Canis lupus familiaris: one gene and its partner. The protein of the gene in region 1 purifies or fractionates together with the protein of each later gene. This does not show direct contact. Links are inferred from orthologs where the notes say so. Each region holds a gene or a part of one and is shown on either strand. Other genes may lie near its edges.

Evidence for each region. The genes of interacting proteins can lie anywhere in the genome.
Region 2: the proteins of ASIC1 (region 1) and PICK1 purify together in Homo sapiens (affinity purification with western blotting; 3 studies listed by BioGRID and IntAct, with this or other methods). This does not show direct contact. The link is inferred for Canis lupus familiaris from reciprocal best matches to the Homo sapiens genes ASIC1 and PICK1.

Annotation. Positions count from the first base shown.
Region 1 is NC_049248.1:42,007,926-42,011,545, reverse strand, and holds part of ASIC1 (acid-sensing ion channel 1), read right to left. Parts: intron 3,118-3,620; coding exon 2,967-3,117; intron 2,342-2,966; coding exon 2,214-2,341; intron 1,931-2,213; coding exon 1,780-1,930; intron 1,390-1,779; coding exon 1,333-1,389; intron 913-1,332; coding exon 759-912; intron 319-758; coding exon 227-318; intron 1-226. UniProt on the Homo sapiens protein: Forms voltage-independent, pH-gated trimeric sodium channels that act as postsynaptic excitatory receptors in the nervous system, playing a crucial role in regulating synaptic plasticity, learning, and memory.
Region 2 is NC_049231.1:27,597,678-27,601,326, forward strand, and holds part of PICK1 (PRKCA-binding protein), read right to left. Parts: intron 3,326-3,649; coding exon 3,263-3,325; intron 2,566-3,262; coding exon 2,432-2,565; intron 2,035-2,431; coding exon 1,942-2,034; intron 184-1,941; coding exon 133-183; intron 1-132. UniProt on the Homo sapiens protein: Probable adapter protein that bind to and organize the subcellular localization of a variety of membrane proteins containing some PDZ recognition sequence.

The sequences.
Region 1 (3,620 bases):
GTCCCCCATTCATACCCACGGGCCTGTCTCTTCCACTTTGCCCTAAGAGAAGGTTCATCCCCTCCTCCCACCAAGACAACATAGTTTGGGGAAAGGCCCCGGGAGAGGGGGGGAATGGCAGGGGACAAAGGAACTTGTGGGACCGAGGCAGGCAGCCTGCTTTGGGCGGTAGGATGTCACACCATGCCCATGGCATGGGAAGGGGACAGTGCCATGAGCAGCTCACCCAGGAGCCCTGCAATTTCATAGGCCTTCTTCTGCTCAATAGTCTCATAGTTGAGGACTTCAAAGAAAATGTCCAGCACCAGGATGTTCTCCCTGCAAAGGGGTTGGGGGAGGAGACCTGGGTTCAAGTCACATCTCTGTCCCTCACTGACCAGGTGACCTTAGCAAGTTACCCTCTCTGAATCTGTCTCCATACCCATAAAATGAGATGTTGATGGGGGTATCCTCAGTGTAGAACTGTCATGAGGATTAAATGTGATGGCAAAAATGAAAAGATGCTCTGCACACTGGCAAGCATGGGGTTGTTCCCAGTTACAGCAGTGAGGATGAAGATACAGAATGATGCAAGGAGGAAAGAGAGGTGCTTCCATTGTTTGTTCCAGCTTGATCTGCCCCCCATGCCCATCCCAGACACTTTGGTTGCCTTCCCCTTTTCATCTCAATCTCCTCCTGTCTACCGGCCCCTCAAAGCCCACTCACACCCTCTATAGTCCCAGCCCAAGGGCCCTGCCCTGCACAGCCAGAGCCCTTACCCTATGTACTGCTCAGACTTGTTGAACTTCTTGGCCAGGTACTTGGCTGACGCTTTGCTGGGGATCTTGACCATGGACAGCTCCTTGCCATAGCGGGTCAGGTTGCAGGGCATTTCACACACACAGTACTCCTGGTCCTTCTCCACCAGGAAGTCTGTGCCCGACCAGGCGAGAGGCACCAGTTGAGTGGTGCCCTTCGGCCAGCTCCTTCCCAACACGAACATCCTGGCCCTGTCCGAAGGAAACCTAGGCCCCTTTCTCTTTTTCTGACCTGTTCTTACCCGAGCCCTGTGTCTGCCCTGTGCTGATCCTCACCCAGCCTCCCCATGGGTATTTCTTAGTCCTATATCTCATTTGGGCCCTCGAGGGTCAACTAGCTGAGGTGCTAATGAGAGAGGGTAAGGGCATGGGGGCCTCTAGAGATATTATTCCCAGCCTTGCTTAAGTCAGACACAAGAGATTCCAAGCGAAGCCTGATCCGGGAGTTGTTGGAAGCTTCTGGGAGCTTGGCCTAAAACCCCTATGCATGTGGCTCCTTCCTTCCCCCAGACTGCCCCAAGACAGGGGTGCTCACCCAGAGCAGGATCCGCACACTCCTTGTACTGTTCTGGAGTGCAGTATGGGGCATCCCCTAACAGAGGAGAAAAGACAGTGGTGCAGGATGGAGATTAAAGGGGTCTCGTGGTGATGATGGTGGTGGTACCAAGCGCCTAGAAACTGGAAGATGGGAGTGGGTGGGAAGGCAGGACTAGCCAGCCCCCAGTATGTCCTGAAGGTGACCACACACCACCCACCCCACAGTCCATCCCTCCTGGACCCCTTCCCACACATTTTTATGGGTTCAGGTGGGAATTGAGGTTAGAGGGACAAGAGCCATGTGAGTATGGAATGGGGCTAGAACTGGGGTGCAGAAAAGCCATTTAATCTTGCTTCCATGTTGGCAGAAGGTTGATGGGGAGCTGGTGAGGGGCAATGCAGGCTGAGGGGCTCCAAGATTGTGTTTGGAGCTTTGGGGCCTGACCTGGCATATGCACCATGCGGCAGTTACAGTTCTCCACCAGGTAGCGTGTCTCACAGTCGATGCGGCAGGCAGTAATGCTGTAGGAGTCGAAGAAATCCGAGTCCATGGTAACAGCTTTGCAGGTGCCCCAGGGCGGGGGCAGGTAGATGAGCTGCTGGGAGAGCCGGGGAGCTGGGGGGTGTGGGGACTTCTCCCCGAGTCACCTTGATGGACTTCTCTGACAAGACGCAGAACTCAGGAGCCTTGCTCCCTGTCCCTCCACAGACTCTGAGGGTCTCAGAGTTTGCAGAGCACTCCTGTTCATTCATGCTTCTCACTAGTCAGATCAGCCCCCAGGCCCTAGCTCACCTGTCCCTCCTGTATTGATTACCCACCACTCCGTCTCGACCCCTCAATACACACCCCCTGGGACCACCCTCCCGTGGCCCTCTCACCCGCTGCTCCTGGCAGGACACAAAGGTCTGGAACCCTGGGGCCACACCAAAGCCCAGCTGGTCGATGAAGGGAGGTTCATCCTGACTGTGGATCTGCACTTTGATGCCCGCTTCGAAGGACGTCTCATCTATGGGAATGAGGAGCAGGGGGTGTATTGGGAGGGCTTCTGACTCCCTAACCTTATTCAGAGCTGGGGCCATGCTGCCTTTCCTAGGGGTGAGCACAGTGCACACTGGGACTGGGGGAGGGGTTAGTCTCTGGGGGGTCCTAGCCCATTCCCAGCCTCCTTTTGGGTTCACTAGCTCCACACTGCCCTGATGAACACCACATCCTACATGCGTTTCTTACCGGGCTCTGGGTATGCATCTTGCGGTTTCAAATTCTTTCCCAGACACTCTCTATTTCTCCCCCTCCCTGTCTCCCTTCTTCCTATCTCTCTCAGCCCCAAGGTCCCTCGAGACCAGACTGACGGCAGGCAGCCCAAGAAGAGAGGGAGTTATTTATAGAGTGAGTGGCGGCCACTGATGGAAAGCGACGGCTGGTTACCTTGGAGAGTAACTGAGCCAGGAAGGGGGAGCCAGGGAACTGTGAGGGTGGCAGTCAGGTAGAGTCGGAGATGGAGATGGCAAGATGCTGGGAGGAAGGGAGGAGGGCCAAGTCCTGTCTCAGGTCCCACAATGGATCTCAGGAGTCCCCTGGTGGAGGCTGATGGCTAGGGCCATGGGAAGGGGCCCCTGAGAGAAGTGACATACCAGTCTCTCCCCATACAGGCAGGTACTCATCCTGCTGGATGTCCAGCATGATCTCCAGCCCATTGCCAGTCCCACCCTTCATGGTCTTCAGCCGTGGACGCCCATCTCGGCCCGAGTTGAATGTATAGCACTTTCCATATCGTGTGAAGACCTGGTGAGGGCAGAGTGGAGAGCCTGAGAGTCCTGCCAGCACCCTCTACCTACCAAGGGCTGTTCCCAGACCCCTCAGCTGCTGTAATCTCAACACACTTCTGGAACGATCCCTTCTGTGCAGCACTTTCTCCATTTGTCCTCCTTCCCACCCATTCTCTGCCTTGCTTTGCCCTGATGTGCGCCCTAGAAAGCTGATCCCTGTGGGGTGCACTGCCCGTGCTCCTTTGCCACTTGGACAGGCTTCGGGGTGGGTGTGGCCAATGGGAGCTTATCAGAGAGGGATCAGAGAGCAGAAGGAGGGGAGATCAGGGTTTTCATCCTTCCCCACCCCTCACGCCTCTGAGAATGCTCTGGCAGTAGTTTAGACCCATTGAGACTGCAGATCCCACCAGGAGGCCTCCCTGCAAAGTCCTGCCACTTCCCTGTGCCCCTCTAGCCTTTATGTGACAATTTTCCCACTATCACGAAGTGCCTCAGGCCCCTTCAGGCAGTTTCCTTTAC
Region 2 (3,649 bases), on another chromosome or scaffold:
CAGCCTGAGCCACCCGGTGTCCCTGGCAGACCAGGACACTCTTGGGCCGCTGTGAGACAAGCAGGGGAAGGTCCATACACTCCAAGACCTTCCAGCACCGGGGCCACCCCCCAATCACCACTGAAAACTCACGATGCAGCTGTACTCCTCGTCATCCATTTCCTTCACCTTCAGGCAGTAGGACTGTATGGGACGGCGAGGTCACGGTGTCAGAGGGGCTCCACCTCCTGGATGCCCACCCTGATGCCACACTTCCACCCCACATAGTACCCCGCAGCCATGCCAGGCCTCCTGGGCCCTGCATGCCCTCAACTAGGATAGGCTGACACTTGCCTCTCATGTGGGAGGGTGGCAAGGGCCTAAGAAACAGCCCAGCATTTCCCAAACTCAAGTTAGGAGAGATGGTCTGGGGAAAAAGGGATTCCATGGTCAAAAGAGCATGGGAAGGTCGTTGAGGATTTATGGTGCACACAGGGATGCCAAAGGCTTTGGGAAGTCCTACAGCAAAGGAGCCTCAGCTTGCTTGGTGGAGCATCTTCCCTCAACATCTTTGACCATCAGAATTTTTACTTAAACATAAAACTCAATAATGTCCAGGAGACCCTGGTGGCTCAGTCCGTTGGGTGTCTGACTCTTGATTTCAGCTCAGGTCATGATCTCAGGTTCATGAGCTCAGTCCCGCATCAGGCTCCACACTCAGCGTGGAGTCTACTTGAGATTCTCTCCCTCAGCCCCTCTTCCTACTTACATACTCTCTAAATAAATACATAAAATCTTAAAAAACAAAACAAAAACCCAACTTGATCATGTCCCTTGGCACCCACTTTATAACCCACTATAAAAGTGACCAAATAATCTCAAGGGGTCAGAGTGGCCCAGAGTAAGCACTCTGCCTACCCTGGGCACCCAAAGGCTCCCTGAGTGGGCAGGGTCTGGGCTGCTGTCCAATTCCCAGTTCCTCCCAGGTCCCTGGGCTCATGTCCTCAATCAGACATGACAAAGGTTCTGGTCCCTTCCTGCCTACCATCCTGTGGCTAATCTCTAGGTGAGTTCTCTCTCTAGCATGCCAGATTCATCCCTCCTGGGGACCACTGACCCAGACTCACCCCGACTCACCCCTCCCTGAGGGCTGGGGACCACTCACCAGACTCATCCCTCCCCGGGGGCTGGGGACCACTCACCCAGACTCCCCCCGCCCCCAGGGCTGGGGACCACTCACCCAGACTCATCCGTCCCTGGGGGCTAGGGACCACTCACCCAGACTCATCCCTCCCTGGGGGCTGGGGACCACTCACCCAGACTCATCCATCCCCGGGGGCTAGGGACCACTCACCCAGATTCATCCCTCCCTACGGGCTGGGGACCACTCACTCAGACTCATCCCTCCCTGGGGGCTGGGGACCACTCACCCAGATTCATCCCTCCCTGGGGGCTGGGGACCACTCACCCAGATTCATCCGTCCCTAAGGGCTGGGAACCACTCACTCAGACTCATCCCTCCCTGGGGGCTGGGGACCACTCACCCAGATTCATCCATCCCTGAGGGCTGGGGACCACTCACTCAGACTCATCCCTCCCTGGGGGCTGAGGACCACTCACCCAGACTCATCCCTCCCCGGGGGCTGGGGACCACTCACCCAGATTCATCCCTCCCTGGGGGCTGGGGACCACTCACCCAGATTCATCCGTCCCTGAGGGCTGGGAACCACTTACTCAGACTCATCCCTCCCTAGGGGCTGGGGACCACTCACCCAGATTCATCCATCCCTGAGGGCTGGGGACCACTCACTCAGACTCATCCCTCCCTGGGGGCTGAGGACCACTCACCCAGACTCATCCCTCCCCGGGGGCTGGGGACCACTCACCCAGACTCACCCCTCCCTGAGGGCCGGGGACCACTCACCCAGACTCACCCCTCCCTGGGGGCTGGCGACCACTCACCAGGTACTCAAACTTCACATCCAGGTACTTCTTGATGGTGAGGCGAGTGTCTGGGATGGCTTTGTTGAGGTACGTATTCAGGTCTGTCAGCATCTGGAAGGGAAAGTGGAGGCAGACACCTAGTCCCAGGGGGCAGGGGCTGGGCTGGCTGGCGTGACAAAGAACGGCACTGACCCATCAATCCTTCTACTGGACTCAGGTGTCAAAGCCAAAGAGTGACAGACAAGTCGGTCCATTCAAGGGTGAGAAGACAGGCTGGGCCAAGGGTAAACTGTAACTAAGATGGAGCCAGGGGCAGAAGAAACCAGCCTGGGGGTCAATGCTGAGTGAGGCCAGGGAGGCAGAGTGACTTACCACAGTCAGTCGTGCAGGTGACCACGCTAGAACCTGCACTTACATTTTCTGACTCCAGTACAGGACACTTTCTGTATGCCACACTGTCCCCTCTCTACCCTCACATGCTGATGCACACATGCCCAACACCACCTACCGGCTTGATGGTTTTCAGCAGCCGGATGCCGAACTTCTCGATGCTGCGGTGGGCGTCAGCAAACTTCACAAAAGCCTCACTCGCGGCTGGCTGGGGCTCCCGCACCCCAATCACAGAGAACACGTCCCCAAAGGCTGCAGGATAAGTCTGCCCTGAAGACTGTCCCTACCTGACCCCTTCATGGAGAAGCCGGGGATTTGCTGGGGAGAAGTGGGGCAAGGGGCATAGCAGGCCGAAGGTGAAGGCCTGTATGAAGTCTCTGTCCCCAAGGAGGTGGGTCTACACCCAAGAGAGCCGGGTCTACACCCAAGAGAGCGGCCCTCATTCCCCAGAGTGATCAGACCACGGGGGAAGAAGAAGGCTGGGTCAAGGTTGGAGAGGCTGCTGTTGCCTGGCAGCAGAGCACAGGGATGTGGAGGCTGGGTCTAAGGCCAGCGCTGCCGGCAGGAGTGGTGTGCACATTTCCTCGGTCTGGGATCATTTTCCCCACTGCAAAGTGGGGTTAACTCTAGCTGCCTGGCCCAGCCGGCAGACTCGTAGAAAATGAGACCACAAATAAGGAAGCCTCTCCACGTTGTAAGGGGCAGAACGGGTTACACTGGACCCCACACACCAGCTGGTCCAGATGTTCCCTGCTGGCCCCACCTCCCAGCATCTGGACAAGGCCCGGCCCGAACCTGGCATGAGGTCAAATGCTGTGGTGTCTGCCTGAGCCTGGTGAGGAAGGGCCCTGGGAGGAGATTGGCCACACCCTAACTGCCTGGGGCAGCCCTGAGCTCAGAAGGGAGCGACGGTCTTCCCAGGGTCACACAGGTTTGGGGGCACCCTTACCCCGGTGTGTCTGTGACAGTTCGTAAAAGGCCCGGAGGAGGTTCTTGGTGTGTTCCGTCATTCCTGTAGGAGAGAGCCAACTGTAGGGGGATGGAGGCACATGGCAGGACCACAAGGGCCCCCAGGACATGGCCTCCACCCCCACCCAGAGGTCCTCACTGTTCCCACAGCCCCACTGGGGCCCAGGGTTGAGGGCTTAGCCGCGGCCCCAGTGCCACCCAAGAGGAGCCCCCATCAGACAAGAGACCCAGGACCTAGCAGGGGCAGAAGGTGACCAGGGCTTCCTAGGCGCTGCATCTTTGGGAGACAGATTCCAAGAGGCTCCCACCATGCTTAAATGTGCTATTATTTGAATTTTTATGGATATGTATTACTCTCATAATCAGG